Linked DNA regions of Astyanax mexicanus. The protein of the gene in region 2 interacts with the protein of the main gene of each other region in a pairwise test. Links are inferred from orthologs where the notes say so. Each region holds a gene or a part of one and is shown on either strand. Other genes may lie near its edges.

Evidence for each region.
Region 1: the proteins of pex13 (region 2) and pex14 interact in a two-hybrid assay, tested with the Homo sapiens proteins (2 studies listed by BioGRID and IntAct, with this or other methods). The link is inferred for Astyanax mexicanus from reciprocal best matches to the Homo sapiens genes PEX13 and PEX14.

Annotation. Positions count from the first base shown.
Region 1 is NC_064420.1:41,366,456-41,383,994, forward strand, and holds the start of pex14 (peroxisomal membrane protein PEX14), read right to left. Parts: upstream 7,107-17,539; 5' UTR 6,889-7,106; coding exon 6,787-6,888; intron 5,174-6,786; coding exon 5,129-5,173; intron 1-5,128. UniProt on the Homo sapiens protein: Component of the PEX13-PEX14 docking complex, a translocon channel that specifically mediates the import of peroxisomal cargo proteins bound to PEX5 receptor.
Region 2 is NC_064421.1:35,739,033-35,755,518, reverse strand, and holds the start of pex13 (peroxisome biogenesis factor 13), read left to right. Parts: upstream 1-10,025; 5' UTR 10,026-10,100; coding exon 10,101-10,171; intron 10,172-15,922; coding exon 15,923-16,486. UniProt on the Homo sapiens protein: Component of the PEX13-PEX14 docking complex, a translocon channel that specifically mediates the import of peroxisomal cargo proteins bound to PEX5 receptor.

The DNA.
Region 1 (17,539 bases), on a different chromosome or scaffold from region 2:
GATACTGGACAGATATAACCTCATATATAACAGTCTCTAGAATTATTTTTAAAAAGTTGCAAGAATAAAATAATGTGACGTTATTTTGGGTATTTTTGCAAAAACAATATAAAAAAAATATTGTCAATATTATTGCGTACAATACAATGTGGCAAACGAATTTGAATAAATTAAATAATTTCTGCCAGACAAAACATAAAATACATTGGGTTCATACTATCTGCAATAAAAATAAAAGCACTGTAAATCTAAGAAACAATTTTTATTTTAATTTTATTTTCCATACTGTTTGTGTTCAGCTATATAATCTCTATCTTTCACAACTGTTTCAATAAAAATCTATTTATAAATGCTAAAAAGACAAAAGGTTTTCATGGGGTGTCCTAACATCTATGTGAAATGAAAAACCCACACAATTATTTCTGTGTTCAGATAAAAGGGTTAAATGGGATTTTTGGCAATGTTTTGCCATTATTTAGCCAGAGATCATGTTAAATAACAATTTCTAAAGCTTGTCCATTCTCAATATACTTTGTGGGCAGAGCCTGGATCAACATCAAGCTAATCAAACAACAAATAATCAATCAAACCAAACAACTCCAACTGCTTTCTCAGAAACAGTTCAGCCTTTCCAGTAACAAAGGGAGGCCGCTTCTGGCGTGGTCCTGAACAGCGCCTGCTGCCTAGAACTACTGTGTTCCACAAGTCCCCAAAGAACTAGAAGCTCATTTTCAAAACTAACATATGAGCAACAGATGTCTACCATAACTGCAGGGCAAGGGGTGACAGCAAAGCGGAGGGAAAAGAGAGAAACCAGGAGGAAAAAAATTAAAACGGGATTAGTGAAAAAGACAGTGACAGAAAGGCCGAGAAGCCACCAACCCGCCCCCGCCCTCCGGCCAGTGCCACTGGCTGTAATGTTAATGTTGGCATCTTGTTAGACTGCCCCCGATTCCTGGGCTTTGTGAGGTCTTTTTTTCCCCTTCTCCCAACATGGTGGTGATAGCAGAGGGGCTCCGGAAATTCGGAGACTGCTGAGCCAAAACAGATCACTTCAAAGCGCCTTATTTAACGCTCACTAAATTTTTCATCACAGTCGCTTAATATCCTGGGGAAGGGGAGCTTTTGAAGTCGCAGCGAGACCGGCATGTTCTTCTGACAACTTTTTCTTTTTTTTCCCCTCCCTCTCCTCCTTTTTTACCTCCTCCCTCAGCTTCTGCATCCCTGCCTCTTTCAACAGGAGGCCGGTGATATTTGGGGCACACAGAGCGAGCCCAGCGGGCAGGGCAGGGTCGGCCTGGGAGTCTGTTCACATACAGCCCTGCAGCATAACCTCACTACCAGCTCAGGGTACGGTCATTAGGGGTGTGCCATATCATATTGTACACAATGATATTGTTAAAAATTATAAAACAATATATATATATATATATATATATATATATATATATATATATTATTAAAATCAATAAGCAGTCTATTTTGTATGATGATTTGCTGTAAAGTTTAAAAGGTATAATTTTTGACTGTTGCCATTTATTGTATATTGATATAGTACTCATGTTACATGACGTTACTTTTATGATACATTTATTTTGCTGTAAAAAATCTTGTTAGTTTTTTATCAGTTATTCATAAAAAAAAAAAAAAAAATCTGATGTTTTCTGTTGAATGTTTTTGTTGAAGTAGTATATTCTGGAAAGAATATATATATATATATATATATATATATATATATATATATATATATATATATATATATATATATATATATATATTCAGCATTTTAGTCAAACCAGCGAGAATACCGTTATTATAAACATACCCTCAAATATCAAGATATTATTTTAGGTCCACATCACCCACCCCTAACAGTCCCCATTACAGTGGAGTAAAGGCAAAAACATTTAACGTAAAGCCCACTTATATAAACAATCTTAATCTATATAGACAAAACTGTCATAGGATACCTATTAATTTATTGCTTCTACCAAAATCAAGGGTAACTGGAAAAAAAATAAAGTAGTTGTAGTAAATGTAACTGTCCCCATTGTCCATGGAGGACTTTTAATTATACTGTATCCCCAAAGGACTGGATGAAGCACTATTATTCCAGAGAACACAGTTCTACTGCTCTACAGCTCAATACTGGTGGATTAATCCATCTCTAACCCACAGCTGGCATTAGGAATGATGTAAATAGGTTAATGTATAACTGCTACAGAGAGTCCTATTCTACTGGCAGTACTTCTCTACACAGACAAGACAAGCTGTGTGTATACTAACTCTATTTGTAAGTAAATGTGGATGGTGATAATGAATAAGGAACAGATTATTATTAACAATGTAAACCAAAAGATAAACCTAGACTCCCAGTGGCTCAATTCAAGTTTTAAAGAATTTACTCAATATGTGAAAACTGAAATGGAGATCAAGACAACAGACAGAGTACAACACTGTTATCTTGCAGCCAGGGCTTAAACACTACATAAAATAAAGCAGTGAATTAATGAATGAATCATCTTAGAATCTAAGAACTGACAAAATACTGCAAAAAAAAAATCAATATTTCTAGTAATATTAAAAAAAAAAAAAAAAAAACTTCCATAAGCAACACTGCAAAAGAACCATTTGTGGTTGCTAAAACAGTTGCGAGTGTAAAGCATCTTTTTATTATCTTCTATAAAACACTCTTCTAGCAAAAAATACACACTAAAATACACACATTTGAGTTTTCACGTTTTACACTCCTAATTACACCTCTAATTATCATTCAGAGACTTTTACACCACGTTCACACACTCAAACATCAGATGTAGAACGTGCTATGCTGTTTGCCTGAGGTGGAAATTTTCACAGCATTAAAGAAAGAGGAAATGTACGGGAGGCGTGAGGGAGAGGAATGAGGGGGAGAGAGACAGATAGAGATAGAGAGAGAGACAGATAGACAGATAGAGAGAGAGACAGATAGAGTAAGGAATAGAGCACAGAGGCTGAGCCGGTGAGCTGGGTGGGGATGCCAGCCCCCGGAGGCGAGCTTCATTCAGGCTTGAATGGGACTGGTGCTGGGTTTGATTGACAGCGCGAAGCGGAGCGCAGGTCCAAACCTGCTATGGCTCAGACGGCCGGGGCCGCCTGCCACCGAGGAGTGAGGACCGCCCATCCCGGCGAGGTGAGTCAGAACCTGTTAGCATGAGTGCTGTCCCCAGCCTGACACCCCGGCACAGCCGCCCAGAGCCTGCCTCTGACTCCCTCCAACCCTGCCACCAGTCCCCTTCCTCTCATCCACATCAAATCCTTTCAGACACAGATTTCAATTATTCACCTCATCCAAATAATGCCTTGTGACATGAATTATCCAGCACTGTAATAATCCACTTAACTGGGAAAGAGCAGCTCATCAAAAAGAGAAAAGGAGGGGGAAAAAAGGCGACTTGTCGACCGGTTAGGAGGCCGAGGAGCCTTAATAATCCACATTTTTTCCGCTTTTGAGGTGAGCGCCTTGAGCTCGGTTTGAGATCATATATGCCGTGAAATCACATTAAACAAAAAGGAACAATTCAGAAACTAATCATTCGGATGTTACTAAACAAGCTGCAGGCAGTGTGTGTGTCGGTGAGAGAGGGAACACAAAGGGGATGGGTTCGATTCTGGGTTTTAAATGACATATAAACCAGTAAACACTCTTAACTACAGGATAATAACTTCTGGGACAAAAAAAAAACGGCTGAAATAATTAGAATATGGCTGATTACGTCTGCTCATCAAAAAGACAAATAAATAACCTCATCATCGTCTCTATTATGTCTAGCTCTAAATTTATGCAAAACATTATGCTCAACCCAAATAGATTTATGCAAAATATTACCCTGATGCTGTCTCTGAGGTGAGATGTTAAAGTACATGTTGTTAAAACACATAACAAGAGAGCTTTCTGGACACCTTTTATATGGCAAACAGCTAATACAATAATATTAACATTATTTGGAGTTATAGGATAATAAGTTACAGCCTTTTGCATTAATGATTAATAACACAGCTAGGGATGAGTGGACCCTATTCAAAACTAGCTTTCAAACATTACTTATTAGCAGATTTAAACTTAATTCCTTTACTGTGACCAAAACTGCTTCTACCAGGTATTAGAACACGTTTTGTATCCGTTTCTGGATCTATTTTGATTACCTTGATTCTGTTTACACTTGTCACTAAAATGCATCCTTTATGCATACTTTCCTGCATAAAATCAAACAAAACATCCATAACTTCTGTTTTCCCAACTATAAAATTTGTTGATCTTGACCATTGTCGTGCTCAGAGAAAGTGAAAAGTTTAGTAATAGTGGAGTTTTAGACAAAAAGGTCTCAAAGCCCTTTAAAATGTGGCAGATAACAAACATACAAACGCCTGACTGACAGAATTTAATATTAAAAAGGCCATTCTGTTCACACTTGCATTAAAATGTGTACGAAATCCATTTTTTGACCATTTTTTTATCGGATAACTCAAACCATGTTTGGAAGAGGCCATAAATAGACATGGGGTGTTTAGTCCTACATTCTGATGCAAACAAGTGAATCTTAATGTTATCAGATCATCATTAGAGAAATCACTGATATATATTATTTATCAGGATGATATCAGGATAAATGCAAACCTCGCAAAAAAGGTGTATATATAAAAAACTGAATTGTATTTAAAACAAATACAAATCCCATCATTCAAACCCATTTCAGGCGGTGTTCTGACACACATTTGAGCCACATATTAAAACAGTGTAAATGTATCTGAGTCTACAAGACACAATCAACAACCAAAACTTCTCCCAGTACAACTGTAACACCAGTAATAACTAACGCACAATTTTTATGAATGTACATCTTCCATCCTGCACAGAAATCAGATTTTGGGCTGACTAACTGGAGGCACATTGGGTCAAAAAGTGTAAAAATGCATGTGTTTAAAACATTAAGAAGTGACCAGGTGTAAACAACAGTGTGTAAGCGCACAAGATGGTCTATCATAATCTGAGTAAGCATGTTGAGAGCACATGTTTAGACTCTGTGTTTTTAGAGGAGTTTAGTGAGGAAGGATAGAGGTGATATTCAGAGCACGAGTATCGTCTTACCAGTGCTTCTCGTGGTGGAGCATCGTCTCGGACTGGAGATCCACTCTGCAGAGAAAAGAGAAGAGAAGGCTTGTGTTACAGCTCCACCTAGAGGTGTTTCTTACATAATACAGTGAGTTTAGCTGGACTTATTAACTAAACTGAATTCTGACTTCATTTCCTATTAGAAATATTGTTAACTGTTAGCAAACAATCTGTTCATTATACATGATCATTCTTTACATTTCTAACTACAAAGCGGGAAAATTACTTATTAATTACTCATTAATTGACCCTTTTATTACAATACAAAACAGAACAGATTAAGTGGGGAGTAATGCTATATTTATTTCTACACTGAACTCTATTTACGAGGCACGTCACAATAATTACATTATTAAGTTAAAGTACAACAAATGAGCATAACCTCAATAATGCTGACCTCAAATGTTGCCAATTCTGTTTCTATACACAAGCAGAACCCATAAATATCAATAAAGCTGATATGCTGACTTGGTTTAAAAACAACAGCAGGTGCATTTTATTAATGTTTTATTTATGTAGGATATTTTTAAGAGACGGATTGATCAGCATTTTATGGGCCAATCACCGATCGGCAGGGTCCAATCAACCATTCCAGGCAAACTTAGTAATTTTACCTAATTACAGCCATCTAAAACAAACAGCTGCCTTAAATAAACAAACATTTAAAAAAAAACAGCATACAGTGCTGTGAAAAAGTAAATGCCCACTTACAGATTTCTTTTGTTCACACAGAGTCAGGTTGGTTTGGATTTTTTTTCTTAACAAATTAAATCATAATTTAAAGTATTCTTTTTGGTTGTCCGATATTAAAATGTGTTTAAAAGAAATATCTTTATCCAGAGCTCATCTTTCTGCTTTTATATTAACTATTGATACTGTATGCTGAAGATAATGGTATTTTAGAAAAGATTTTAACGGTTTTATAGGATTTACAGGAAAAAAATACCCTATCAACTACATTAAAGCCAGTGATTGTGACACTAAAAAACAAAATTAAGATCATTATTTACAAAAAACTAAAAATTAATGCAAATGCTTTATTTATAGACACTTAATATTAGTGGGAATTTGTAAAATAAAAGTAAAGTGTATTAAGGAAATGTATTAATTTTAACATTAATCACAGTCGCACCACATGACATTTTGTAAGACCAAGGCCAACTCTTCTAAATAAAAATACACTAAAATCACTCTAAAATCTAACATTTTAATATGAGTTTGTGTTCACAACATTTTAAATTTTTGAACAATTGCAACACATACTTTTATTTTTTGTATTTTAAAATTGGCATGTGTGTGTGTGTGTGTGTGTGTGTGTTTTTAAGCATTTATTCTAATAATAACAATATTCTACTGTGACATCATCCAAGCTGTATATATAATATGCCACACATCCTCTCCCACATCCTCTCCTTTACATTACAAACACTGGGAAACCCCAGCTAAGAGTCTGACACATATAAGCTAAGCTAGCGTTACCTACAATACTGCAGAATTTATTAATTTATTTTTGCACACCTGAAAAGTTGTGATTTTTTAAATATTATTTTAGATGGCTGCTGCAGTACTGGTGGTTAAAATGTGGTGGTTAATTGTTTGTGTGGTTAGTAGTGTTTGTTAGCTCTGGTACACACTGAATGGGCTGAACGATGCACTGTCCCGAGCAGTATTATCCAGTTAGTGAGGTTAAAAGTATTTTTTCTCTTTCCTCCATGAGGAACAATAATTTGACACATTGTATATACAAATAAAAACAGCAGAAACTGCTAAACAGAAACAGCTAATCTCCACACTGACTGCTAACGAGCTGTTAGTGGCAGCAGCTGTGCTCCAGCACCAGAGTTCCATCTAGTGGTTGGACGAAGGTACTGCAGCTTTCTAAGACCAAGCTTCACCAACTGTAAGCCGCACAGTTCTGCTGCAAATCTTAACTCACCTATATGATCTGATAAGTTCTCAGGATTGGCCGATAAAATAAATACCCTGATATCTAATATATTTAAAAAAACACACACACACACATTATTTATAGGTATACGTTTGAGCAAAATGAAGAGTGTTGTTTCATTCTACAAACTACAGACATTTCCCCCAAATCAAATTTAAAATAAAAATATTGTCATTTAGAGCATTTTGCAGAAAATGAGAAATGGCAGAAATAACAACAACAAAAAAAATACATTTTGTTTTATCAATGCTTTATCAAGCACTTTGCATCTAAAGATTTGTTAAGAGACTGTTCTGATTGGATAAACAGTAAACTTTCCTTTTACTCAGATATTGTGCATTTGGAGTGTTAATACCAATACATTTGTCCTATAATTTTATTATATATTTATTTATATATATGGTCTTGCTTACAGTATAACGATAGCTCAGTGTATCATTTATTAGTTAATGAAAATAGAAAATTGTGTGTTAAAATTTGTTTTTTATTTTTTCCAAATTTGGTGTTGTAAATAAGAAATGTTTTTTTTTTTTTTTTTTTACAATTTTTGTAAATTTTTGCATCTTGTAAGAGTAGGTTGTGCAATACCATTAAACCGGGAAGAAAAAAGAATAAATATTTTTGGTGAAAAGAAAAAAGAAAAACCTTTTTTACTAAACCAAATGTGGGAAAAAAATGATTAAGTTTTACACCAATTTTTAGGTTTAGCCTCAAAAACAGTAAATTAAACAGATGAACACTGACCCAGCAAGCTAAGAAAAGCTCAGAAAAGCTTAGAAATCTAAAAACCTTTTACAGACACCATAATTACTGACACCAGTCACAAAATGTAATGTGCAAAAACACACATTTTCTAACGTCTAGTTATTGTGTAAACAGAGTCCTCCCTATTAGTGTCTTTACTAATAGTTTTAAATTAGATTTAAGCTCAGTCAATTCTTCCCACCATTATAAAAGATGAGACTAAAAGGTGGGTGACGACTGTGGAACAACAGCGGCCTGTTCAAAACTGAACACAGGAAGTAGAGACTTAGCACGCTAATGTTATTAGCTCAACAATAAAAATGGAGCAAAATTCAGTCATTGTTTCCATTGTCAGTGATCCATGCCTGTCCAAAGGGCTTAATCAGGTAATAAAATTCCAGCCACTGCCAAAAGAAAAGTACAGCAGACATCTAAATAACATCTCAGATAGTAAATCTCAGGTGAACGGATTACACTCTCTTTAATGCCCTCTCGTCATTTTACTCCGTCTCTGTGCCCATAACACAGGTCTGTACTTTACTGTCCTCTAGTTTTATACTGAATTCAGACTGAACCCATTATTATAGTTCATTCCTATTACATTCTGGATCCCTGACAGACAATATCAGAATATGGACAGGGGCCAAGGTATTGTTGGATAGGTTGCATGATTATTAAGGGTAAAGGTGAGCAGTATGGGGTAATTTTAGCTTACACATGATCAGTGTACTGCAACTGCATGCTTCATTACAATAAGCATGTCAATGTGATGCAAAATTCTCAATTTTATTTTTTTTCAATAAAAATGAGGAATCCAGTTTTACTGCTGCTGTTTACATTTTACAGTTTTTACCTTAATCACATACAGACTGTGAAGTGTAAGTAGAAGCAAAGTTATAATAGTGTGAGGTGCTGGAGTCTCGTGGACAGGGGTTTAAACAGAAGAAACCTTCAAGTGTCAAAAAATAAATAAATAAATCACAGTGAAAGCTTTAAATACCAAACAAACACTAGGTCAAAATAAGTCCTGCCAAAGTTTACAAATATGATTGATCTAGAAACCTTAAAACATTTTTTTTTCATGCAAATGAATCCTCTTACAGAGCCTGGTGATGTATCAGTGGTTTTATTTAGTGATGTAAACACAGAATCACTACTGAGTTTAAAGAGTAGATTTTGTATTTATTTATGCTAAAATCTGGATTAAATCTCATAACTAACTACTCCTTTCTTTTCTCCTACACTCACACACACAGCTACTTTGTTGTTTTACGACACCTTGTCATTACATTCAGTCTTATACAGATAAAAGGGTGCGATTAATCGTAGAATGTTGATTCCATTAATACGATTACATTTTAATAAGTCATTAAAACAAATTAAGCCTTATTGCAAAAATACTTTCAAATGTAAAGCTAAAATCACTTCCTCACATTTGCCCCGTTTTCTATTTTGCGGATCTGAAAAAATAAATTGTGATTAAAAATCATGATCTGGTTTAAACTGTGAGTTCCTTATATCTGTTAGACCACCGACTGTGACACAATGTCAGACTCAATTGTCAAAATGACAGATAAAGTTTTTTTTTTTTTTTTTTTTACATAACACTGAAGATACTTGGTCCCGTTAAACTGGATGTAGGAATAAGAGAAAATTAAAATGCATATCCTGAATGCATATTCTTTTTTCTCAGAAGGCCAATCCTGATATCACAGCCTGATTCCTCCATCAGAACAAGGTGAAAAGGACAACAGAGCTTCTACACTTTCACTCACTTGTTGGATTTCAGTCGGGAAGCTGACAATCATTCGGCACTGTAACAAAACACCAGCAGAGCCTGGAAGCTGATATTGAGCTCAAGAGCAAACAGGGGCTCAACTCCAGTACAAACCAGCAATAACAGCAATAACAGAATCTACAGTGCAGAGGTCATATATTCAGCACAAATATCAGAATTCAGGAAACACTTAATGAAAGCGCTATCAGATGTCTATGCCAACAATGAGTCAGAATTAGGTTACATAAAAAGGCTGAAGTGAACTGAAGTGAATCACATCAAATAAAAATGACCGTTTGACAGCTAAAGTCCTTTAGGGAGATTTAGCAGAATTTCAGTGGTGACGCACTGTTCTACTGTGCAGCATATATATTTTATTGAAACACAGGTGCTCTAAACCACCCAAGGCATGTCCTCCAATTTGACGTACTAAAGTTACTGCTTCATTACTCCACATGATCTCGCTCCTAAAATGAATTAGGTAAACCTTCAGTGAATACTAGTTGTCAAATTCACCAATAAACCCATAATTCCTGGTATTTGCTTGTTTAGGATGAGTATTTTATCTACATATTGTGAGATGCCCGGCGATTCCCACTCCTAGTTCTTAGACCCCTACCCTTACATATTTTTAGTTGGATCAGGTGTGCTGGAAGCAGGGAACGGACTAAATGTGCAGGACAGGGGGTTCCATGACCAGGATTGAGAAACCCTGCATTAAGCAAACACACACTTATCACACTGAGCCTCTCACAGAGTTTCCTAACACTGATAACAGCGTCCAAAGACAAACCCTTCAAACATGATCAGAGAGAAACACTGATCACTCAGGCTGAGATTCTGTACTGAGAACTAAAGGATTTAAAAAAATATTAATAAATAGCCTGTATAATAATTAAATCGCTAATATTCTTCTTTTGCTGCGGAAACACAAATGTGGGTTTTTTTTCCCAGTTAAATATTTAATTAAAATCATAATGTTTAATGCTTAGCACATGCATAAAGGTTGCATGTATTATAAAAGTTACATATTTTTGTATTGTGTATTATCACCATCTTTTATAAAACATTTAAAATATTGTTTAGCTTCTATTTAGTACTTCTGGATAAGACATTTCAGTGGCATTAACATATGTGATTATTAAGCATCAAAAGAATATCTCAAGACAAGTCTGAATTCAGGTGGTGATTTTTGGCCAGGCAATGTATATACATAGATAGCTAGTCGGACAGAAAGACAAACAGATAGATAGCTATATATTTAAATAGAAATTTACAGAAGAATAGCTAGAAAGACTCACATAGACAGATAAATAGCTATATATATATATATATATATATATATATATATATATATATATATATATATATATATATATATATATATATATATATAGAGAGAGAGAGAGAGAGAGAGAGAGAGAGAGCGAGAGAGAGACATGTATGGACAGAAATAGATGACTATCTTTACTGTCCGTGAAAGGTTTCAACCAGATTGTTGAGCATTGCTGTGAGAATTTGATTTCCTTTAGGCCAAGAGTGTTATGAAGACAAGATGTTGAGTAGATTACCACACCGCATCATCCCCAACACCCTAATGCATCCTAATTCAATCCTACTTTAAAAGTCCTATTCTTTTGATAATACAGGAACTAAAAAAACTGTGCATGTTTTTACACATTAATATCAGACATTTTAACAGATGTTTGATAGACAGACAATGGGATATAAAGACAGACAAACACAAAAAAACAATATACAAGAGAGGAACACAGACAAACAAAAATAGACAAGTACTGACAGATAGATATACAGATAAGACAGAAAGTGATAAATAGACAATATACAGATGTATACAATAAACAAACATAGAAAAACAGAAACAGAGCCAACCAAAACAGAACAGTCATGTAAAAATAGATAGGTAGATAGATAGATAGGTAGATTAAAAATGATGAATTTCTTTGATTTTACTCAATTGAAAACCTCTGGAATATAATCAAGAGGAAGATGGATGATTACAAGCCATCAAACCAAGCTGAACTGCTTGAATTTTTGCACCAGGAGTAAAGGCATAAAGTTATCCAAAAGCAGTGTGTAACACTGGTGGAGGTGAACGTACCAAGATGCATAAAAAACTGTGATTAACCAAATATTGATTTCTGAACTCTTAAAACTTTATGAATAAAGTTGTTTTCTTTGCATTATTCGAGGTCTGAAAGCTTTGCATCTTTTTTTGTTATTTTAATAAATTACAAAAAATGCTCTAAGTGATAATATTTTTATTTGGAATTTGGGAGAAACGTTGTCCGTAGTTCATAGAATGAAACGACAATGTTCATTTTACTCAAACAAATACCTATAAATAGCAAAATCAGAGAAACTGATTCTGGACCTGTATATAGACAGATAAATACAGACAAATACAGATATAAAAGAGAGAGAAAGATAAACAGATACAGATGTATACAACAAACAAAAACAGGCAAGACAGAAACAGACAGCCAACCAAAACAGAATATTGGTGTACACACGAGTATGTAGATGTAAGAGATTAAACACAGAGCTCTTTCTCTCTGTAGTGTTTAAGGCTGTGCGGTATGTGTGGTGTGTCAGTGCAGTGCTCAGGCTGAGTGTAAACATTAACACGCTGCTCTCTCTGTGGACACTGACCCGGGCTCGGCTCTGCACACATATCCGTTAGCTAGTTAGCCTGCTAGCCTTGTAGTTCCAGAGCTGAAGATTGCTGCTGGCTTTATCTACACACATATAAACTCTATAACTAAATAAACACGATATAGTTAAAGTGTTAATAAAGCCCTGGCTGGTTTATAAACGGTCTGCGGGAGGGCTGGAGCTGCCTGTGGCCTGCAGCTGTCAGAAACAGCCCGCTAGCAGCAACAGCAGCAGCAGCTGGGCTAAAACTTTTCCTCCACCAACTAACTAACCACAGATACACTAACACACACAGACCCAGCACCGCACAGCGGCCCGGCCTCACCGCCGCCAGCCCGTTTTAGCTCTTTACCTTACTGTGCTGCTCGGACTGATCCGAGGGCGCCATCCTCTCCAGCCTGCAGCTCCTGCTAGCTAACCCAGCTAACAAGTTACAGCTGAAGCGACTGAGTTTCTGCTTCGACTCACCGAGTCTGGGACAGGCTGAGTAATCGAGCCAGAGCTGCTGAGTGACTGAGGCCTAGTCACCAATCACATGGGGCTTCCACAGGTCCACTGATAAATTATAACCTACATTTCTAAACAATCAAAGACAGACAGAAACAGACATACAAAAAGTTAGTTAGAAAGACAGACAGACACACACAGACACACACACACACACACACACACACACACACACATACACACACATACACACACACATATATATAGATATATATAGATATATATATAGATAGATAGATAGATAGATTAAAATAGACTGACAGACATATAGATAGATAGATAGATAGATAGATAGATAGATAGATAGATAGATAGATAGATAGATAGATAGATAGATAAGAGTCAGACAGTCACACAGAAAGAAATGTACATACAAGTAACGTTAGATATTTACCTGATCTTTCTTGATTTCCAATCGCATGACTGGAACCAAAAATAAAAATATGAAAAAGAATTAAAATAAGCAGGACATTTCGATTCTATTTCCTATATTTTATTCTATATTCCTTCTCCTCTAAACTTCACAAATGCAATTACTGAAAAAAGATATTTACAGCTACTTTGTGTCCTTTTAGTTATTAACCAAAATGCTAGTCTTTTTCCTTTTCAAAATGTCAAAGATACTACACGTGATACACAGCACAGCACCTAATAAATATATAAACATAATAAATATATAATATTTACAGATTATTCATGTATCGTTTGTGCTAATCATAAATATAAAGACCTAAATTGATAATACATTTCTAATATTTGTCTGCTGTTGTATAGTTCTGTCCCATGGTCTCTGTCTCTAAGAAATGGGGCAAGAATCCCCGTTAGATTCATTACAGGAAACCTGTCGGTGTAACAGGACACAACATTACACACTATTTTATATTTTTACAGAATAAGCAGTTTTTTTCCACACAAATAATGTTAACAACACACAAATTATGTCCACTTTAAATATAGCTTATATATATATATATATATATATATATATATATATATATATATATATATATATATATATATTAGAATTACTAATTAGTAGTAGTATTGAGTACATGTATTGAGTTTGAGTAGGCACAGACACTGGTGCTTAAAAAACTTGACTTGACCAGAAAGAAAAAAAAACTAATTTGATGTAAAGTTATTTTTTAGGTAACCTCATATCATAGCTAGATAATATTTGTATATTGGACCTGGTTGTGGTACAGTGTTTAAATGCTAACAATGTGAACTCCAGTAAATATTAAATTGGCTTAAACTACAAGGATATTCAAAGTATAACAGTAAAGTACTCCTCACCCGTGACTCCAACACTGCAACTTTCCACCGTGCAGCACTTCTTCTTGTTTTAATAAACAGAAATGGAGGCGTCGTATAATTCTGAATAACCGCATTGCTAAATTAACTGGCGTTAGCTCCACAGGTACTCACTGCAGTAAAATGACCGGTGTTCTGTCGAGTCGTGCTTCCTTGTCAAACCGTGCTTCCCTAATGTATATTAACTGTAAAACTACAAAAAAAGAGAACAATATTCGAGCATGTTCGTAGTAGACGTATATATAATATATTGGGAAAGCATAAATCACTGTATAATGGTACAAAATACAGCCAGATATCATGATATTATCATTTTTAAATAATAATTATTGTATTTATTGTTATTCATTTCCATTTACACTTCTGTGCAATGACAGTGAGTCGAACTGTTGTTTAATGCACAAAAAAAACAGATAAAAAAAAAACGAGAAATACTTAAAAATTGCAGGTCAGCGCGCATGCGCACTGCCTTTAAGAAGCACGTATCGATGGGTAGCTTAATTTGACAGAACACCTGTTGTAGCTTTTTAAGTAGAGCCGGATGTTTTGTCGAGTTCTGCTACCCATCGACGAGTGCTTCTTATCGACACTGCGCATGCGCCGACTCAAAATTATTATTATTTTTATTTTTATGTTAATTCTGTATTTTTCGTGTTATTTGAACCTGATCTCATTCTCATTATTTGATTGAGTTTTACAAACAAGGTAATAGCGACTAATAACAATAAATAAAATAAAAAATAATATATATAAAATATATATGTGCTTTTTTTTCAAAGCGCGGCGTATATAAGGTTCGATTTATTTGTTTTTATTTAAACTGTTTCTGAGCTTTAGAGCTTCTGAGCAGCAGCAGCAGCAGCAGCAGCTTTTCACTTCCGAGAGACACTTTTACAACTGCATACCCACCACCTGATTTACACTTTAGACTGTTTAATTATCTTTATTCTGATTTAATTATTCTGTAATTGTTGTATTTTCTTTGTTGTTGTTGTTGTTGTTGTGTTTTTTGTTGTTGTTTTTATCTTCAGGTTACCGGATCAGGTGAGGGACCAACGCCCCGCGGTCGGAAATGGCCTGGTGGCTGAGGATTTCTACCCTCCTTCCACGTGAGGTCAGTAGACATTTTTCGCATTTTAGACCAAACCCATATTCATAAACTGAACTAAATAAAACTGAATAAAATTCAGAAATAAAGCTGGAGATGGATCAGCTCGAATTAAAGTGAGTATCTGTTCTGCAGGCGGAGTCTGGTGCTCCAGAGGCTTCACCTCCTCACACTCCGCCTCTTTCTGTAAGTATCTATTAAACCTTTATCAGACCCAGTAATATATTTATATATATATATATATATATATATATATATATATATATATATATATATATATATATATATATATATATAAAAATGTCAGATTTACTGATATGGACTAATTTCGATCCATCAAACTAAAACAGATTCAGTTTGTGATGTTTTATAAAGCATGATAGCACATAATTAGCACTTTTTATTTAATAATAAATAGTCTTAATAGTTCATTGCTTTGACATAAATTCTCTTTACACTGATTTACAATGGAATCAGCCATAGTAAAGCCAATATTGCCATAGGTACACACAGTGACAGTTGTCTATTATATATTGTTACATTTATATGAAACCCATACTATAAAAACTTGTATACTGTGATATTTTTGGTGTATGTTTTCGATGATGGTTGGAATTAATTTAACATATGTTTCAATTGCAGGTGGACTCCGATCTGGACTTCAGCTCCGATGACTCCAGCCTTCTGTCCACCAGTCTTCAGTCGCTGGGTGAAGTGCCAGAGCCCTGTGTGGAGCTGAGGGCCTGTATTATGCAGGTGAGGAAAAAGTGCACAATAAAAGATTAAATTGCAGTGAAGCATCACTGTCATACAGCTGCATCCAAAACCACATATCACCTAAAATACTGAAACAGTACAGCAACAAAAGTAGTGCATTAATTAGAGACGGAGATCTGTGCAGCTTTGACACACTTATTAAACCTGGCTATTAGCTGAGAAGCAAGAAAACCACCATGCAGTATAGTATATGTTTATTCAGGGTAAATCAGAACAGTGCACATGGTCTTACAGTATATTTTAGTACAGTATTTAATAAGTACATTTTGTATTGCTTGACTTTTTTCTTAAACAGTGCATAGAAGACCACCTCCCCAGCACCATGGAGCCTCCCTCTCCTCCACATCCCAGGCCAGTTCAGGGAGTCATTGTGTCTGTTGCAGAGGCAGTGCCCTCTCACAGGCTGGACTCCTCTGAACCAGTGCCTGGCATCATGGCTGAGCCAGCTGCACAGGTATTTGGAGTTTGCAGTCAGTCCTACATCATCTCTGTCTTTACCTCATCATCTTCAAATTGAACAGCTGTGCTTCTTTAGAAACCCATTAATTTTTTCCTCTCGGTTTCTTGTAGGTTGTGGCTGGCTTGGACCATGATGTGGAGGAGGACGGTCGTAGGCAGGATGGTATCGGAGAGGAGGAGATTCTGGAGCCTGCTCCCAGTCTACAGGTCAGAGTTCAGTGTTATTTAAAGCAGCATACACCTTTAAAACGAATGAGTATCCTCTTTAAACAGCATTTTTTTAAGGGTTAACCATCTCTTCACTGCTGTAACACTGTGAATGTCCACACAGATTGACTAATGAAGGATTTTTTTTCTTCCCTTGTTTATCTTCTCAGTCGGCAGAGCCACCCCAGCAGGACACCGGACACCTCTCACCGACCCTCCACACTCGGGGCAGGTCCCAGAAACAGCGCAGCACCACATTTAACCTGTGTAGCTTGCTTTGTTGTTTCAGGTCTCGTCGCCGAGTCGGGGTGCTGGTTGGGGAGGCAGACCACAGGCTGGACCTTCAGGAGACTGAGCCAGTGCCTGCTGCACAGGTAAGAGTTAAAGGAATAAATCCTGCTGTACAGCAGCTATAGAGGAATATCTGCAGTATGTAGAAGCTTCTCTAGATATTTCAAGTATGTATCATGTACTATCTGTCATTTAGTAATAATCATCCTATTTCATGGTATAATCTAGTCCTGCACTAGAGTTTTATTCAGTATTTAGTTTTTTTTAAGTGTTCAGTAAATATTGAAAATTTTCTATAGTAAAATTATTAGTGAAGTCTCTTTTTTACCACTCTGTCTTTAAATGAAAAGTTAAGGTCAGATGTTCAGCATAAAACAGTAAACCTCAGGATCAAGAAGAATAATGCAGATATAGGGAATATTGTATTTGTGCATTAGTAGAATATTATAGCAATTGTGCTGTTTTGTTCTATTGTCTATTAATGTGTATTAAATGTTCTTGTCAATAGTTTTTACACCGTGTCTTATTTTATTTTGTTTTCTTGTGTCATTTTTCCTTGCAGGGAGGATGGCTACAGCG
Region 2 (16,486 bases):
CTCGCAGATTCCACAGGTCCCTGGCAAACTGGTAAATGATGCAACTTCCTGTATTTAAATTAGTTTTAACATAATGGTTTCTTGATGGTCACACCACATGATATTCTATAAAATGGAGATTATCTGACAAATTTTGCTTATATATTACGATGAAAATAAAATTACAAATGCTTTGCAATTTTGCACAGGACTCAAAAACACTTTGAAAATCATGCCGAAAAGGTTAAAAAAAAAAAATATATATATAGGTTTTAAAGAAGTTCTCAAAACAATAGTCATGGTGGGACAGTCGCACCACATGATATTTTGACACTTTAAATAACCAAAACTTTCTGATGAACTAATTACTTTTAATAAGTAAAAGTAAGTACAAATGTGAGAGGGAGACTATGTATCTATGACAACGTTTTATGGGTTTAAACCTTAAAATTTAGGCGTCACGTCATTGACCCATATATATATATATATATAGAGATGCAGTTTATTAGATTAAAAAATAATAGAATATAAACTTTAATATAGGTTTGTGAGTTACTGTACTGTTAGGAATACATTTCATATTAAACACCAAGACTTTTAATAAAGGCTTTGATTAGTATTGGGTTTACTTTGCCCCAAAAAATTAAACAATATATGAAGAAATCAGACTTGATGATCAGAAAGAAACGGCAGCAGGAGCTGCTCTGACTTCTCTGCAGGACGGAGCTAGACCGTGTTTATCCTTTTCTCAATCTGCGTTCTTGTATGTACTTGTGTTCTTTAGGACTCAGGAAACGCCATCAGACGCAGCCCAAGTACTTGCAGTAAGTTTGCAGTTAGCCAAGTACACAACAAATACCCGGATGTGTTCTTGCTCCTCCCACATTATCGAGGATGCATAGAAGGTGATTGTGGCTGTGTCTCAATTCCGGGGATGCATCCTTCGAAGGATGCGGTCTAAGAAGGTGTGTCCTTTGAAGGATGGGAAGGCTGCAGCGGCTATACTGAAATGGGACAGTGTACCCTACGGAGTACTTCCTGTTTCCTGTGTGAGATTCTACCCACCACAACCAAAGTCAGAGCTGAGAAATGAGCCAGAGATTTTGATTCTAGTTTTACTTCAGACCACAAAAAAACCCAATGTAATTAAGTCCAGGTTAATTAACTGTGCAGTTACTTAAATATTTTAAATGTGAACGAGTGGAGCTGAACATGAACATGAATAAAAGGGCGTTTGAAATGAAGTTGGAAAAAAGAGAATAAATTAGAATAAAATATAATTTAGTTTATATATATATATATATATATATATATATATATATATATATATATACATATATAGTATTATGTAGTTTATATATATATATGTATATAGTATTATGTAGTTTATATATATATATATAAATTAAACAATACTCATAAATAAACTAAATAATACATAAGACATACAAACAGATATATATATATTATTTAATTTATGTAAATAAATATATGTATTTATATATCTATAATATATATATATAAGATACTACATATATACACTAAATAATACAAATTATATAATATCTAAATAATATTTATAATATCTATAAGTATTTATATATCTATAAACTACATAATACAGCCGACTCCTTTGCCGTCTCCGCTCTTTTTGCTCTGAAATAAACTGGCGCTCAATGAATCTTGGGATACTGTAGGCTGCGAAGGATACACGCGATGCATGCTTCGTTTCCGAGCAAAAGTAGGCTGCATTCGTCGGCCGCATTCGAAGGAGTCTTTGAAATGGGACAGCCTAGTCGCACCGCGGTGACGTAATCGGCCTTCAAATGAGTCCTTCGAAGGATGCAGCCCCTGAAAAGCCTGTGTGGACTTCTTACAGCCGATAACCCAGAATGCACCTCGCAGCAGTATCAGCGGAGGAGACAGTAAATACCTGTGGGTTACACTTTTTGAAAACAGTACTGTTGTGTGATAAAATAAAGTTGAACGTTGAATGAAGTTATTTTTAGGGAAGAATGTAGGGGTTTAGACTTCAGATATGTGTTTTATTTATTAACAAAGCAACTAAAATGCATAACGGTAAAAGTTCCCTCCGCGGTATACCGAACTACTCTAGTTTGATCAGATTTTCACAAATCAGGTCTCAAACCAATCTTTATAACCTTAAAGTCAGAAAATCATATAGTAAATAACTGTAGAACACAATACATGTTGATATACTGTATGAAAACAACTGCCACCTGTATAATAGTAATATTTGAGGGGTAAAAACAGACTTTTCTGCTATGTTGTGAGACTACAGTTATAGATTGCAAAAACTAATACAGTGAACATATAGTAAATAAAGAATATACTCAATACATTTTGAAACAACAATGTGCTGGCTAGCGCTGCTAAACTGGGCTGGCTAGCGCTGCTAAACGGGGCTGGCTAGCGCTGCTAAACGGGGCTGGCTAGCTCTGCTAAACGGGGCTGGCTAACGCTGCTAAACGGGGCTGGCTAGCGCTGCTAAACGGGGCTGGCTAGCGCTAATAAAAGGGGCTGGCTAGCGCTGCTAAACGGGGCTGGCTAGCGCTGCTAAACGGGGCTGGCTAGCGCTGCTAAACGGGGCTGGCTAGCGCTGCTAAACGGGGCTGGCTAGCGCTGCTAAACGGGGCTGGCTAACGCTGCTAAACGGGGCTGGCTAGCGCTGCTAAACGGGGCTGGCTAGCGCTGCTAAACGGGGCTGGCTAGCGCTGCTAAACGGGGCTGGCTAGCGCTCATAAAAGGGGCTGGCTAGCGCTGCTAAACGGGGCTGGCTAGCTCTGCTAAACGGGGCTGGCTAACGCTGCTAAACGGGGCTGGCTAGCGCTGCTAAACGGGGCTGGCTAGCGCTAATAAAAGGGGCTGGCTAGCGCTGCTAAACGGGGCTGGCTAGCGCTGCTAAACGGGGCTGGCTAGCGCTGCTAAACGGGGCTGGCTAGCGCTGCTAAACGGGGCTGGCTAGTGCTGCTAAACGGGGCTGGCTAACGCTGCTAAACGGGGCTGGCTAGCGCTGCTAAACGGGGCTGGCTAGCGCTGCTAAACGGGGCTGGCTAGCGCTGCTAAACGGGGCTGGCTAGCGCTGCTAAACGGGGCTGGCTAGCGCTGCAAAACGGGGCTGGCTAGCGCTGCTAAACTGGGCTGGCTAGCGCGGCTAAACGGGGCTGGCTAGCGCTGCTAAACGGGGCTGGCTAGCGCTGCTAAACGGGGCTGGCTAGCGCTAATAAAAGGGGCTGGCTAGCGCTAATAAAAGGGGCTGGCTAGCGCTGCTAAACTGGTCTGGCTAGCGCTGCTAAACGGGGCTGGCTAGCGCTGCTAAACGGGGCTGGCTAGCGCTGCTAAACGGGGCTGGCTAGCGCTGCTAAACGGGGCTGGCTAGCGCTGCTAAACGGGGCTGGCTAGCGCTGCTAAACGGGGCTGGCTAACGCTGCTAAACGGGGCTGGCTAGCGCTGCTAAACGGGGCTGGCTAGCGCTGCTAAACGGGGCTGGCTAGCGCTGCTAAACGGGGCTGGCTAGCGCTCATAAAAGGGGCTGGCTAGCGCTGCTAAACGGGGCTGGCTAGCTCTGCTAAACGGGGCTGGCTAACGCTGCTAAACGGGGCTGGCTAGCGCTGCTAAACGGGGCTGGCTAGCGCTAATAAAAGGGGCTGGCTAGCGCTGCTAAACGGGGCTGGCTAGCGCTGCTAAACGGGGCTGGCTAGCGCTGCTAAACGGGGCTGGCTAGCGCTGCTAAACGGGGCTGGCTAGTGCTGCTAAACGGGGCTGGCTAACGCTGCTAAACGGGGCTGGCTAGCGCTGCTAAACGGGGCTGGCTAGCGCTGCTAAACGGGGCTGGCTAGCGCTGCTAAACGGGGCTGGCTAGCGCTGCTAAACGGGGCTGGCTAGCGCTGCAAAACGGGGCTGGCTAGCGCTGCTAAACTGGGCTGGCTAGCGCGGCTAAACGGGGCTGGCTAGCGCTGCTAAACGGGGCTGGCTAGCGCTGCTAAACGGGGCTGGCTAGCGCTAATAAAAGGGGCTGGCTAGCGCTAATAAAAGGGGCTGGCTAGCGCTGCTAAACTGGTCTGGCTAGCGCTGCTAAACGGGGCTGGCTAGCGCTGCTAAACGGGGCTGGCTAGCGCTAATAAAAGGGGCTGGCTAGCGCTGCTAAACTGGTCTGGCTAGCGCTGCTAAACGGGGCTGGCTAGCGCTGCTAAACGGGGCTGGCTGACGCTGCTAAACGGGGCTGGCTGACGCTGCTAAATGGGGCTGGCTAGCGCTGCTAAACGGGGCTGGCTGACGCTGCTAAACGGGGCTGGCTAGCGCTGCTAAACGGGGCTGGCTAGCGCTGCTAAATGGGGCTGGCTAGCGCTGCTAAACGGGGCTGGCTGACGCTGCTAAACGGGGCTGGCTAGCGCTAATAAAAGGGGCTGGCTAGCGCTGCTAAACTGGTCTGGCTAGCGCTGCTAAACGGGGCTGGCTAGCGCTGCTAAACGGGGCTGGCGAGTGCAACTAAACAGGGCTGGCTAGCGCTGTAATGATTTACAGTTTTGTTTACTTAGGCGCTTCCCCCAGCTTCCCCATTTGAAGGGAAACATGGCGAAACACTTGCTCACTTCAATGTAGACTTCCTTACTAGTGTTGCATAATGTGCTTTATAATTCAATGCGTCTTATAGTCTGACAGTAAATTACAATTCTTATTATACGGTAATAAGCTGTAGTCTTTCTCTACAATACATTTTTGCAATTTTACAACGCTTTTTTTGACCTTTACTTACTGTACTGTAGAGCAAAAATGTGACTAAGGGGTTCCTGTTTCACATACTGTATTTACAAATGCATGCTCTCTCACGCACACATACACACACACCTACACATTACTGTAAAACAACCAGTTGCATTTCTCCTTTTTATGATATTGCTCTTGTTCTATAGACAATCAAAGTCAAAATTTCAAGTTAAGCATAAAGTTTGCATGTCATATATATATAAATAAATATATATATGTATATATATATATATATATATATATATATATATATATATATACACACATACATACATACATACATACCGTCACTGTGGTTTCTGACACCTGAGTACACTGTCTCTAGCTACACCCAGGCCTGATTATTGCCACGCCTGTTCTCAATGAAGACATCACTTAAATAAGACCTGCCTGACAAAGAGAAGTCCACCAAAAGATCCTTAAAAGCTACACATCATGCCGAGATCCAAAGAAATTCAGGAACAATTGAGAAAGAAGTTAATTGAGATCTATCAGTTTGGAAAGGGTTATAAAGCCATTTGGGAGCAGCTTCTGTTGCATGCTTCTGTTTAAGGTGTAGAGATAAATGTGTCGCGCTGCTTCGTTTAGAAGCAATCGGTTTAAACACACCTGTTTGGTCCTCGCTGCGTTACTTTCCACCCATCAACCCCTCCAATCAGAACCACATCCACTAGATCAGTTGAAAAAAAGTAATTTCAATAATTTTGGTTAGGAACCTCTGACAGTACACAGCAGGATTAGCCAGCAGACTTTGTCTGCATCTCTGTGGCAAGTCAGCGGATGAGAGAGATGTAGATACTTATAAAATATTGGGTTTTGTTCTTCTGTCACAGTTAAACTTAAACCAGCTTTTTCAAGTTTTGCCATTTAGCATAAGCTAACACTTTGGTGTGTTAATTGCTCAGTGTATACATGGGGCTTGGCCAGAAACAGCTTAATTGCATAAAAATCCTTAATCAGCTCATTCTGAAAGGGACTAAAATTGGTAAGACTAGAGCTATTGGACTAGAGCTATTGAGATCTCTAATGTAAAAGTGATTTTATTCAAAGAACTTCAGGAACATATTTTGTATAGCCCTAAGTTGTATAGACCTATTCTAATGTGTAAAAATAGACATGTTCCCTTAAAACAGGCCCCATTCAGAGCTTGATCTGGAGCTTGCAACAGACAATAGAATGTATTTAAGCTTTTCTAATTCAGTAAACAGTTTATTAAACTAAACTTTTTTCAACTAGAAATTACAATGTGGGTTAGCATGGATTATTTCTTAATCAGTTCTTAATTACATTTGTGCATAATTGAAGTCGCTTCTAAAATGATACTATATTATTGTCTTAAAAGTTTGTAATAATAACGTAATAGGTGTTGCACTGTAATAATAACAAAAATTGCAGATTTTAATTCCAAAAAATCTTTAGATCTTATCTGTAGGCCTAGATAGTCCTGAGGGTCCCCCGCTGATATTTATAGCATAGTGTGTGCAGTAACCTTGCTATCTTTACAATAGGCTGTCAAATCTCTCCAACACTGTCAATGAGATGAGACAGAAAATCTGTGTGGTACACACACCCCACCCACAGGGAAAAGCTCCACGCTACTCTACACTATTTCACAAACCAAGCAACAGGTGTAGTCAGACAGTCACTCACTCTTTTCCAGAAACCGTAGTACAGATACAGGGGCTAAAGAAATTGTTTGCGCATTTGCACATCTGTGTCAGTAACCTAAAGTAACATTCACTACATACAAGTGGTGTCCACAAACATTCAGACATATAGCTTAAGTTTTTAGTCAATATCAGTTCAGTTCTACTGAAGAGTGTATTTAACACTAATCTGCTTAATCACACCTGCCCCAGCTAATGGATGTCTTGCTTGGCAGGATCAGGTGCTTCAGGCTTGGCTGAGAAAGGCCTTTTCCAGCACAGGTTGGCGATTTCCCCGCTGCAGCACACCTGACTCACCTCCGCAGTAATAAACCAGAGCAGAAGTGCACAAACCAGGTTTAGTGAGGTAAAGGAAAACTCTGCTGACTTGAATAGGTTTGGTGTAAAATACTTTGTTCTAGAAAATCTTACCCAGTCAGAATATTTGACAGCTTTGGGGATGGCAAGCTGTACAATGAGAACTTTTAGTAAGAAGACCATTACCTAATCTTGTAGTTGGGCAGCGTGTGCTTCTTCTTGATGACCCTTTTGAGCTGGTTGACGATGATGGAGGTGAGCTGGGGCAGAGGGCGGCCCTCAAACTGGGACTTTACCTCGAAGTCGATGAGCGGGTCCTCCAGGAAGGAAAAGGACCAGTGTGTGAAGGGCACTCGGGTGAACTGCAGCCTGAGGCGCCCCGCCACCCGGGTCATCTTCACGAACAGGTAAGCAGATTTGCCAAATACCAGGTCCACATCAATGGCTAGGTGGAATCCCCCATTGTACTCTAGGTCCACCTCAAAGCTCAGCTCCTCTGGAACGCCCTCGTCATTGACAGCCACAGGTTTCACCAGCCGGGTGGTCTTGAAGATAGGCACGGAGTTGCCCAGGGAGATCTCACGGAGGCTGAGACCCTCTAGGAGGCGCCCTGCTGTTTTGGTCTGCAGGAGTTCCTCAAACTCCACCCGGATCTTCTTGGTGACCCAGTGGCGCACAACTGGAGTGTCCCGGAGCTCCCGAAACAGGAATAAAAAAATGGCATTGAGGAAGCCACAGGTCTCCAGTGCTGGGTCAGTGCGGGGGGATGATGATGGGGAATGGGGCTGGGATGATTGGGACTGGGTTTGGGAATGCTGAGATTGGTTCTGGGGTTGGGATAAAGTCTGGGCTGGTGGCGGTTTTGAGGCGTTTCCTTCATGCTGCCGGGAAGACACCGTGGGTACTTGCTGGTTCTGGCCCGGATCACTCGTCTGCTGGTGCGGCTGGTGCTGGAAGTAGTCTCTCAGTGCTGGATCCGCCACGGCTCGGCCGTACTGCTCGGTTCTCCGGACGGGCTCCGGGCTCCTCCGGTAAAGCAGCGCCAGCTGCAGCAGTATAGTGACCACGGCACCGGACAGCGCGGAGATCAGTATCAGATAGATCATCTTCAACCGGCTGTCAGTCTCGGAGGCCTCCGCGATTTAACGAAAACAAAACAACACCAAGAAAAGCGAGGTTCCACCTGGTCGCTCACAAAGCTGCCATATCATCCGCCTCGTTCCTGGGTTGCGGAGGCGCGCCCTGATTGGACCGACGCGCCCCTCGTCACTCTGCGTGATGACGACCGCAAGGAGCAAAGAGCGAGTTCCGGTGGGTTTTATTTAACACCCGTATACCGGAGAGTCCCGCCCTTCCCGCTCTGGGATTGGCGAGACTCGTCTTGTCTCCTGCGCTGTGATTGGCTAGTAGCTCAGGCTTGCAGAACGGCAGAGTATTTACGTAAGGGAATACTCTAATCTTATTTTATCTAGTCATAAGGATTACTAAGCAAACATTTATTCACAGTTTTATCACAATTGAATTACAATACATATATCTGCCTATACAGCTTACAGGAGCTCTTTTCACTCTGAGAATCCAGTCAGCCAGCTATTGAGGCTATTTACATTACAGTCTCAAAGACAGAAACAAAATCAAACCGTCTCTTAAAAGAGAAATCCGATATGAAATGGAATTTTGGTGTAGTAAAACATGACATTAAGTACTAACCTTTGTTGAATAGCCCAGCATTCTGAACTACAGAGCTTTTTAGCCGATAATTCCAACAGGCTTACAATACTAGCAATAGCAACGAATGAACAATTTTTACCCTTTTAACAAGCTCAAAGTATCTCCAGACTTTATTTGTTGAATTCTAAGAGCCCTGACATTTAAATGAGGCACTAAGAACTTTGAAAGTGCACAGTGTATAAAAAGTTTTTATTATACTACCTGTGAACCTTCAAATTTCTCAGTGCCTCATTTTCAAAGTCAGGGCCCTTAGAATTTTACAGATGAAGTGTCGAGATACTTTGAGCTTATTAACAGTGTAAAATAGTGATGGAGATAACCAGGGAGATGAATCACACAATAAAGAATTGTATTGGCTCAAGGCTGTTATCTTTATTAAGCACAGATAAAATATCATAAAGCTTTGACTCTTTGACTCAGATAAGTCAAACAGTTTTCAGTCTTCCCCATTAAAAATGGAATCAAAAGATGTCAAGCAACAAAGAGTGTTACACAATAGTTCCACCTAGTGATGAAAACAGGGGTATAATATTGTCTCCTATTGTCCTGTAGTGATGTATGTTAAAATAAGGCTAACACTGCCATCACTGCTTAAACTACTACTGCTAATAATTATAATAATACTAATAATACTACTACTACTACTACTACTAATAATAATAATAATAATACAATGAAACGAAGATATTATTAATATCTCGCAAGATATTATTAATGTTATTATTATTCCTAAATTTCCTTCGGGATAAATAAAGTATCTTTCTTTCTTTCCATCCATCCATCCATCCATCCATCCATTAGCACCTTTTTATAATAGAGACATAGTTGGTTTCCCAGACAGAGTAGAGGCCTAGTTGTGGACTACATATCTCTTTTAATGTGGACACTCCTTTCACACTGTTGCATAGTCTAGTACTATGCTTTATCCCTGTCCGTTAAACCAATCCATACACATGGACATATAGATAGTCAGAAAATTAGATCACAGTAGTATTCACAGAGGATAGCTCACTTATTACAACAGCAAACAGACAGCAGTGGAAGCAGCAACACCAGATTAAAAATAAAAATAAAGTACTAATTTACAGATAATAATAAAAAAAAACTAATTTGCTAAAAAAAAATAGTTAACTGTTATAGGTATCATAGTAGTAATAGTAGTAGCAGCAGTAGTAGTAAAATAGCATCTTTACAATGCATAATAATATTACATGCATCGATATCAATAACTAGCTAAATACAAAATAGAACATATTTTTAAAACATATGAAGAACAAGTTAAAAATAAAGAAATATAATAGTAGTAATAATAATAATAATAATAATAATAATAATAAAAATAGAAATAATGTATTTTTAAACTAATGCATTCTAAATAATAATTAAAAAATATATAAAATATATATTTACAGTAATAAAATGTCTTAAATGTCTTACATATATAAGCTTAAGCCTTCATTTATGCGGTTACCTTCAAGGGGGGTAAAATCAAGTTTTTATAGGAACAAGTACACGAATATTTACGGCGTTAGCGGAATAGAAATATGAGTTTATGCAGCCGTAATTACGGTAAAGTCCAGACGCATATGAAAGCAGTAGCGCAGCAGTGGGTGGATGTCGGTTGGTTACCTCTGAATAATGTCTCAGCCGCCTCCAAAACCCTGGGAGAGACGAATTCCCGGGGCGATGCCATCCCCAGTAAACTACCGGTCAGTAACACGGTTCTCTCCAAATCCTGCTTTTCTTTCAGAAAACAGAAAAAAAAAACAGGCGTATGTGTGAACTGGCCCTGTAGCAAGGTGACAGGCCCTGTGTTGTTGTGTGTTAGCTTGATTGCTACACTAAGCTAAGCTAAACTAACCGCGTTCTTACGCAACTGAAAGTTCAAAGCACGTCATATTTTAATCCCGATAATAAACGTCTGATATTATTTAATACACATCTAGTCCATCGACAGACCCTAACTGCGTGTCAGAGTGTCCAGACTCATGTTTTAACTATAACGTGTCTTGACTGGTTTGGTGACCTACAGCTGTCGGTGGAATAAACTTTATGACTAGTATTTAAGCTAACTTAACTAACCTAAGTTTTTGTTATATTTGAATCTCATTAACTGCTATCGCAATAGCAAAATGTCCGTCCGACATAGCATACATAACAAATATAAATCACATCTTATAGGTAGCGTCTTATTCGCCAATGTCTTATTCGGATTTTCCGGTCCACCTTAAAAAGTCGAAATACCAATGATTCGCCAGTAGAGAGCAGGATTGAGCCAAGCAAAACGAGTTTGGTATTTAGGGCATATACATTGAGAATACATTGCCTGTTCTGGGTATTTCTAGTTGCCCTAAATCCAGATTATCAAATAGTCTGTTGAATTTGAAAATAGAACTAGTATACTGTGAATAGTCTAAAGACCTACGGATATTACTGTTCCTTTTTTATTATGACCCTCTTAACTTAGCATTTGAGAAGATCAAAGGAGAAAAAATGGCCTGTTCTGCATGATTCCTGTTGCCCTAACTCCATATTTTCAAATAGTCTGTTGAATTTGACACCAAAGTATGAAAATAGAACTAGTATACTGTGAATATTCAATAGAAATACAAAAATTACTGTACCATTTTGTTATTATGACCCTCTGAACTTGGCATTTAAGATGATTAAAGGAGAATAAATAGCCTGTTCTGCATATTTCCAGTTGCCCTAACTCCAGATTATCAAATAGTCTGTTGAATTTGACATCAAATTCTGAAAATAGAACTAGTATACTGTGAAAAGCCCGAAGTACTAGAAATATTATTCTACCATTTTATTATAACTCTCTGAACTTAGCACTTACAATACAATATTGAAGTAGAATAAATGGCATGTTCTACATATTTCTAGTTGCTCTTACTCCACATTATCAGTCTGTTATTATGCATGCTTATTTCTCACCTCTATATAACAATATTTCATGCAAGTGTGTGCCATATTTAAATCCTTTCCTATTACAAAACTGGTAGTATTGTTTTTCTTTTACCATCTGAATATAGGAAATTTGTTATAATTGTACTGTTATTGAATCAAGGAATGATGCATCAAGTTTTGATAACTGAAGATTTTAGTATAAATTGCAATATATATCATTGTAATATTTATTTCTGACAACAACAAGTGGGACACAATCGTGGAGTGGAATGAAATTTACTGGATATTTAAAAAAAAAATTGACATAAATAACTGAAAAGTGGGGCAATATTATTCGGCCCCTTTACTTTCAGTGCAGCAAACTCCAAGACCAAGAAACAAACCAGACAGGTCCGAGATACTGTTGTGGACAGGTTTAAAGCAGGATTTAAATACAAAAAGAGTTCCCAAGCTTTAAACATATCAAGGAACACTGTGCAACTGATCATATTGAAATGGAAGGAGTATCAGACCACAGCAAATCCACCAAGACCCGGCCATCCCTCTAAACTTTCAGCTCAAACAAGGAGAAGACTGATCAGAGATGCAGCCAAGAGGCCCATGATCACTCTGGATGAACTGCAGAGATCTACAGCTGAGGTGGGAGACTCTGTCTGTAGGACAACAATCAGTTGTATACTGCATAAATCTGGCCTTTATGGAAGAGTAGCAAGAAGAAAGTAATTTCTCTAAGATATCCATAAAAAGTCTCATTTTAAAGTATGCCACAAGCCACCTCGGAGACACCAAACATGTGGAAGAAGGTGCTCAGTCAGATGAAACCAAAATTGAACCTTTTGGCCAAAATGCAACTTTAGCAGGGACATAGAAGATGGTTAAAATTGATGGGAAGATGGATGAAGCCAAATACAGGAGCATTCTGGAAGAAAACCTGTTGGAGTCTGCAAAAGACCTGAGACTCGGACAGAGATTTGTCTTCCAACAAGACAATGATCCAAAACATAAAACAAATTCTACAATGAAATGCTTCACACATAAATGTGTCCAGGTGTTAGAATGGTCAAGTAAAAGTCCAAACCTGAATTCAATCTAGAACCTGTGGAAAGAGCTAAAAAAAAATGCTGTTCAAAAACAAACGCTCTCTATCCAACCTCACTGAGCTCCAGCAAAAATTTCAGTCTCTCGATGCGCAAAACCCCAAGCGACTTGCAGCTGTAATCAAAGCAAAAGGTGGTGATCAAAGTATTAATGCAAGAGGGTAGAAAAATATAGCACGCCCCACTTTTCAGTTTTTTCAGTTTTAGATCTTTGTTTGAAGCCTGAAATTTGGCAAAAGGTTGAAAAGTACATGGGGGCTGAATACTTTCGCAAGGCACTGTAACTGTGAAACAATCTACACATGCACAAATTTATCTGCAAAGCATGTACAATAGAAAAAAGAATTGACAAAAAAAACACACAATGCATGCTACATGCTTTGCAGATAAATTTGTACATTTGTAGATTTTATTTATATATATATATATATATATATAAATTCACCTATATAAAGTCACAAAGTACCCAATTTTGCTTCTCTGTGAGGTTTTGCAATCTGCAGTGTGGTAACTGATAATGAGGAGTTCCTGGAGAAAATAATTATTAATGCTCCCTGTTACTTTTTCCCAAATAATGCACATTTAACCCAACCTGCTTTTTCCTCTCTGATCCAGCTGGCAGGGAAATTAATGTTATTTCTTTGTGCATACTCAAAATTGTTGGTCTAAAATTAAGAATGTCACATAGATTTAGTGATAAAATGTAAGATTACAATGTACTGTACTGGCACAAATTACCCCAACCCCACTATTTTGGGGAAAAAATCCATCATCCAATAGTTTTGGGCAAACATGCTAGCTGTATAGACTCATAGTGTAGCTTACCAAAGCACTAAAACTTGTGAAATGTTTTCAAACTTGTCTGTAACTGTTGAGACACAACAATCAAAATGGTTGACTTTTCAAAAATGTGTGGTCACATCACCAATTTCTTCTGTGGTTCTCTAGAAACAGGGGGTGGCACAACTTCCCTACTGGCACAAATCAGCCCATTTAACCCTATATATAGGGCTGCAGCTATCGATTATTTTAGTAATCGAGTACTCTACTGAAAAATCGATTCGATTAATCGAGTAATCGGATGAAACATATTTGTTTGCTTAAAGAGTAATTAAAAATACACAAAAAAACAAGCCATTTCACTTAATAATGAATAACCAATTGATTTGCTTTTTTAGATAAGTTATATTTTAAATTCACAACACACATTTCCAAACTGCAAACACAAATAGAAATAAATAAATAAATAATAATGTAATAATTAGTGCTTTAATACATTAAGTGAAATTATTTTCAACAAGGATTTCTTGTAAGTATCAAAACTATAGTGAATTAATCAATAAAAAAGACATAAAAATTTGCATTATGTTGTGCATCTTAGCTTCTGAACAGCAGAGATGTTGCAGTTCCTCTCACCAGGACGGTGACATGTATTTGTTTATAAACTCCACAGCGCTGTGTTCACTTACATAAAGCCTGTATTAAGTCCAGAATTGTCTGTTTTAATAAAACTAATAACACATCAGACAGTATTACTAATAGTCAGCGCTCCACAGCACTGTCATTATGTTATTAAGGTACATTAATATTAATCGCATTGATTTGTTAATAAGTTATATTAACCTTCTCTCGGCTCCACCGCTAACGTGTCCTCGGCTGAGACGCAGCATTAAACCGTGCTGTTGTGGGAGGCAAGAGCGAATGTACGCTGTTCATTCTAAAAAGCTCCATTATTATTACACTTTTTCCTCGTAAGATGTCGCTCTTTTCCCTCGGCGCTTCAAAATACCCTCCTCTCAACCAAAAACCTTTGTGCGGGTGACGTAACGCTGAGCGCGTTGTCACATTAAAAGCATGAATTACCGCGCGCTGAGTTTTTTTATTTAAATAAATAAATACTCGAGATATATATATATTGTTTTTGTGTTTTTTTCTGTCATTTTTTTTTTTCAAATAAATTACACTTTTTTTCTACTGTGCATGCTTTGCAGAGTACTTTGTGCATGGTAGTATTACAATACTACCCGTTTTGTAATAGGTAAGGATTCAAATATGGCACACACTGACTGATAATGTGCACTCTAAGAAATATAAGTACTTAAAAGGGTACAAAGCTTGTCGCTGGGGCTGTACCTTACATTGAGGTACAAAAAATTCCTTTAAAGATTATAAACCAGTAAAGATTATAAAGATTATAAACATTATCATCAACTAAATATGGCTCAAAAACTTGATGATCCAAATTTGTCTGGCTTTCAAATAAAGAAATGTGCAAAGTGTAATTACAGTGCACGGCAGTGGACAAATAGTTAATTAATTCCGTCACCTCACGTTTAATTTTATTAAACGTGAGGTGACGGAACTCAGAGATGTGCGCCCGGATGGGACTAAAATAATCATATATTTTTCAGATTTACAAAAATTTTGATATCAGACAAAGATAACTTGAGAAGTTTTGTTTATATAATAATTGTATTTGTTAATATAAAAAATCTATTTAAAACAACCTGGCCTGTGTATTTGCCCCCTAAAACTAATAACTTGACTGTGTCACTCATGACGGCAACACCTGCAATCAAGTGTTTGCAGCAACTGGTAATGAGTCTTTCACTTGTTTGCGGAGGAATTTTTGCTCACTCTTCTTTGAGAACTGTAATAATTCAGCCACATTGGAGGGTTTTCGAGCATTAACAGCCTGTTTAAGACCATGCCATAGCTTCGCAATCGCACTTTGGCTTGTCCACTCCAAAACCTTAATTTTTTTTTTTTGTGCCATTCAGACTTGCTGGTGTGCTTCGGATCATTGTCCTGCTGCAGAGCCCAAGTTCAAAAACTGTTGGACGGATATTCACTTTCAGAATTTTAGAATTCATGGTTACACCAAGAGCAAGTTGTCCAGGTCCTAAATTAAGCAGCAAAGCATCTCCAGACCATTTGTGAATATTTGCTCTCACTGTGGTCCTCTGGACTCTCAAAGCCTTAGACATAACTTTGGAACCTTTTCCAGACTGATAGAGAATCAATGACTTGTTTTCTTTTCTGTCCCTTAAATTTCTTCAGATTGGGGTATAATGGGCTGCTTTTTGAGATATTTTAGCTGCTTCATGTTTTCATAAAGATTCTATGTAGGTGGTTTTTTGATTCTACAGGTTTAGGCGTAATCATGAAACTGCTTTTTGTATTTACACAGATTATCATTGTCTGATATTAAAGGTCATTTGACAATCTGAAAAATGTAAAAAAAATAAAATAAATAAAATAATCATAATAAAAAATGAAAATGTGCAAAAGAAGTCTGTATGGAGGCTAATACTTTTTCAATGCATTTGACACCAAAGCTTACTATTAATGAGTAGGAAATTACATCTTAGCTATGTATAATACCAACGTTTTACAATTTTGCTATATTTATATTCTGAGAATCATATATCCTTTCACAACTTTCAGGAGTAGTGACTTTATTGGTGCAGGAGTGAATGGACCTCCAGCATCAGGTCCGCCAGTTTTAACACGTATGGCTCCACCAGTCCCACCTCGGCCTGTCCAGCAGACCTACCGTCCGGCCTACAACTCCTTCCCCTCTTCTTATAGTCCGTATGGCTATGGCGGAGGCTACAGCCCCTACAGTTATGGAGGGTATGGCCTCGGGGGCGGTTTGGGCTACAGCCGTTTCCGTATGGAGGACGTTCCACCCAGTCGCTTCGTCCAGCAGGCGGAGGAAAGCAGCCGAGGTGCTTTCCAGTCCATCGAAAGCATCGTGCACACCTTCTCTTCAGTCAGCATGATGCTGGATGCTACCTTCTCGGCTGTCTACAACAGCTTCCGCGCCGTGCTGGACGTGGCCAACCACTTCTCCCGCCTGCGTGTCCACTTCACCAAAGTGCTCTCGGCCTTCGCCCTGGTGCGCACACTGCGCTACCTCTATCGTCGCATGCAGAGGATTCTGGGATTGCGGCCTGACCTGGAGGCAGAGGACCTGTGGGCGGACAACCTCGTGCTGGCTGCTGGGAC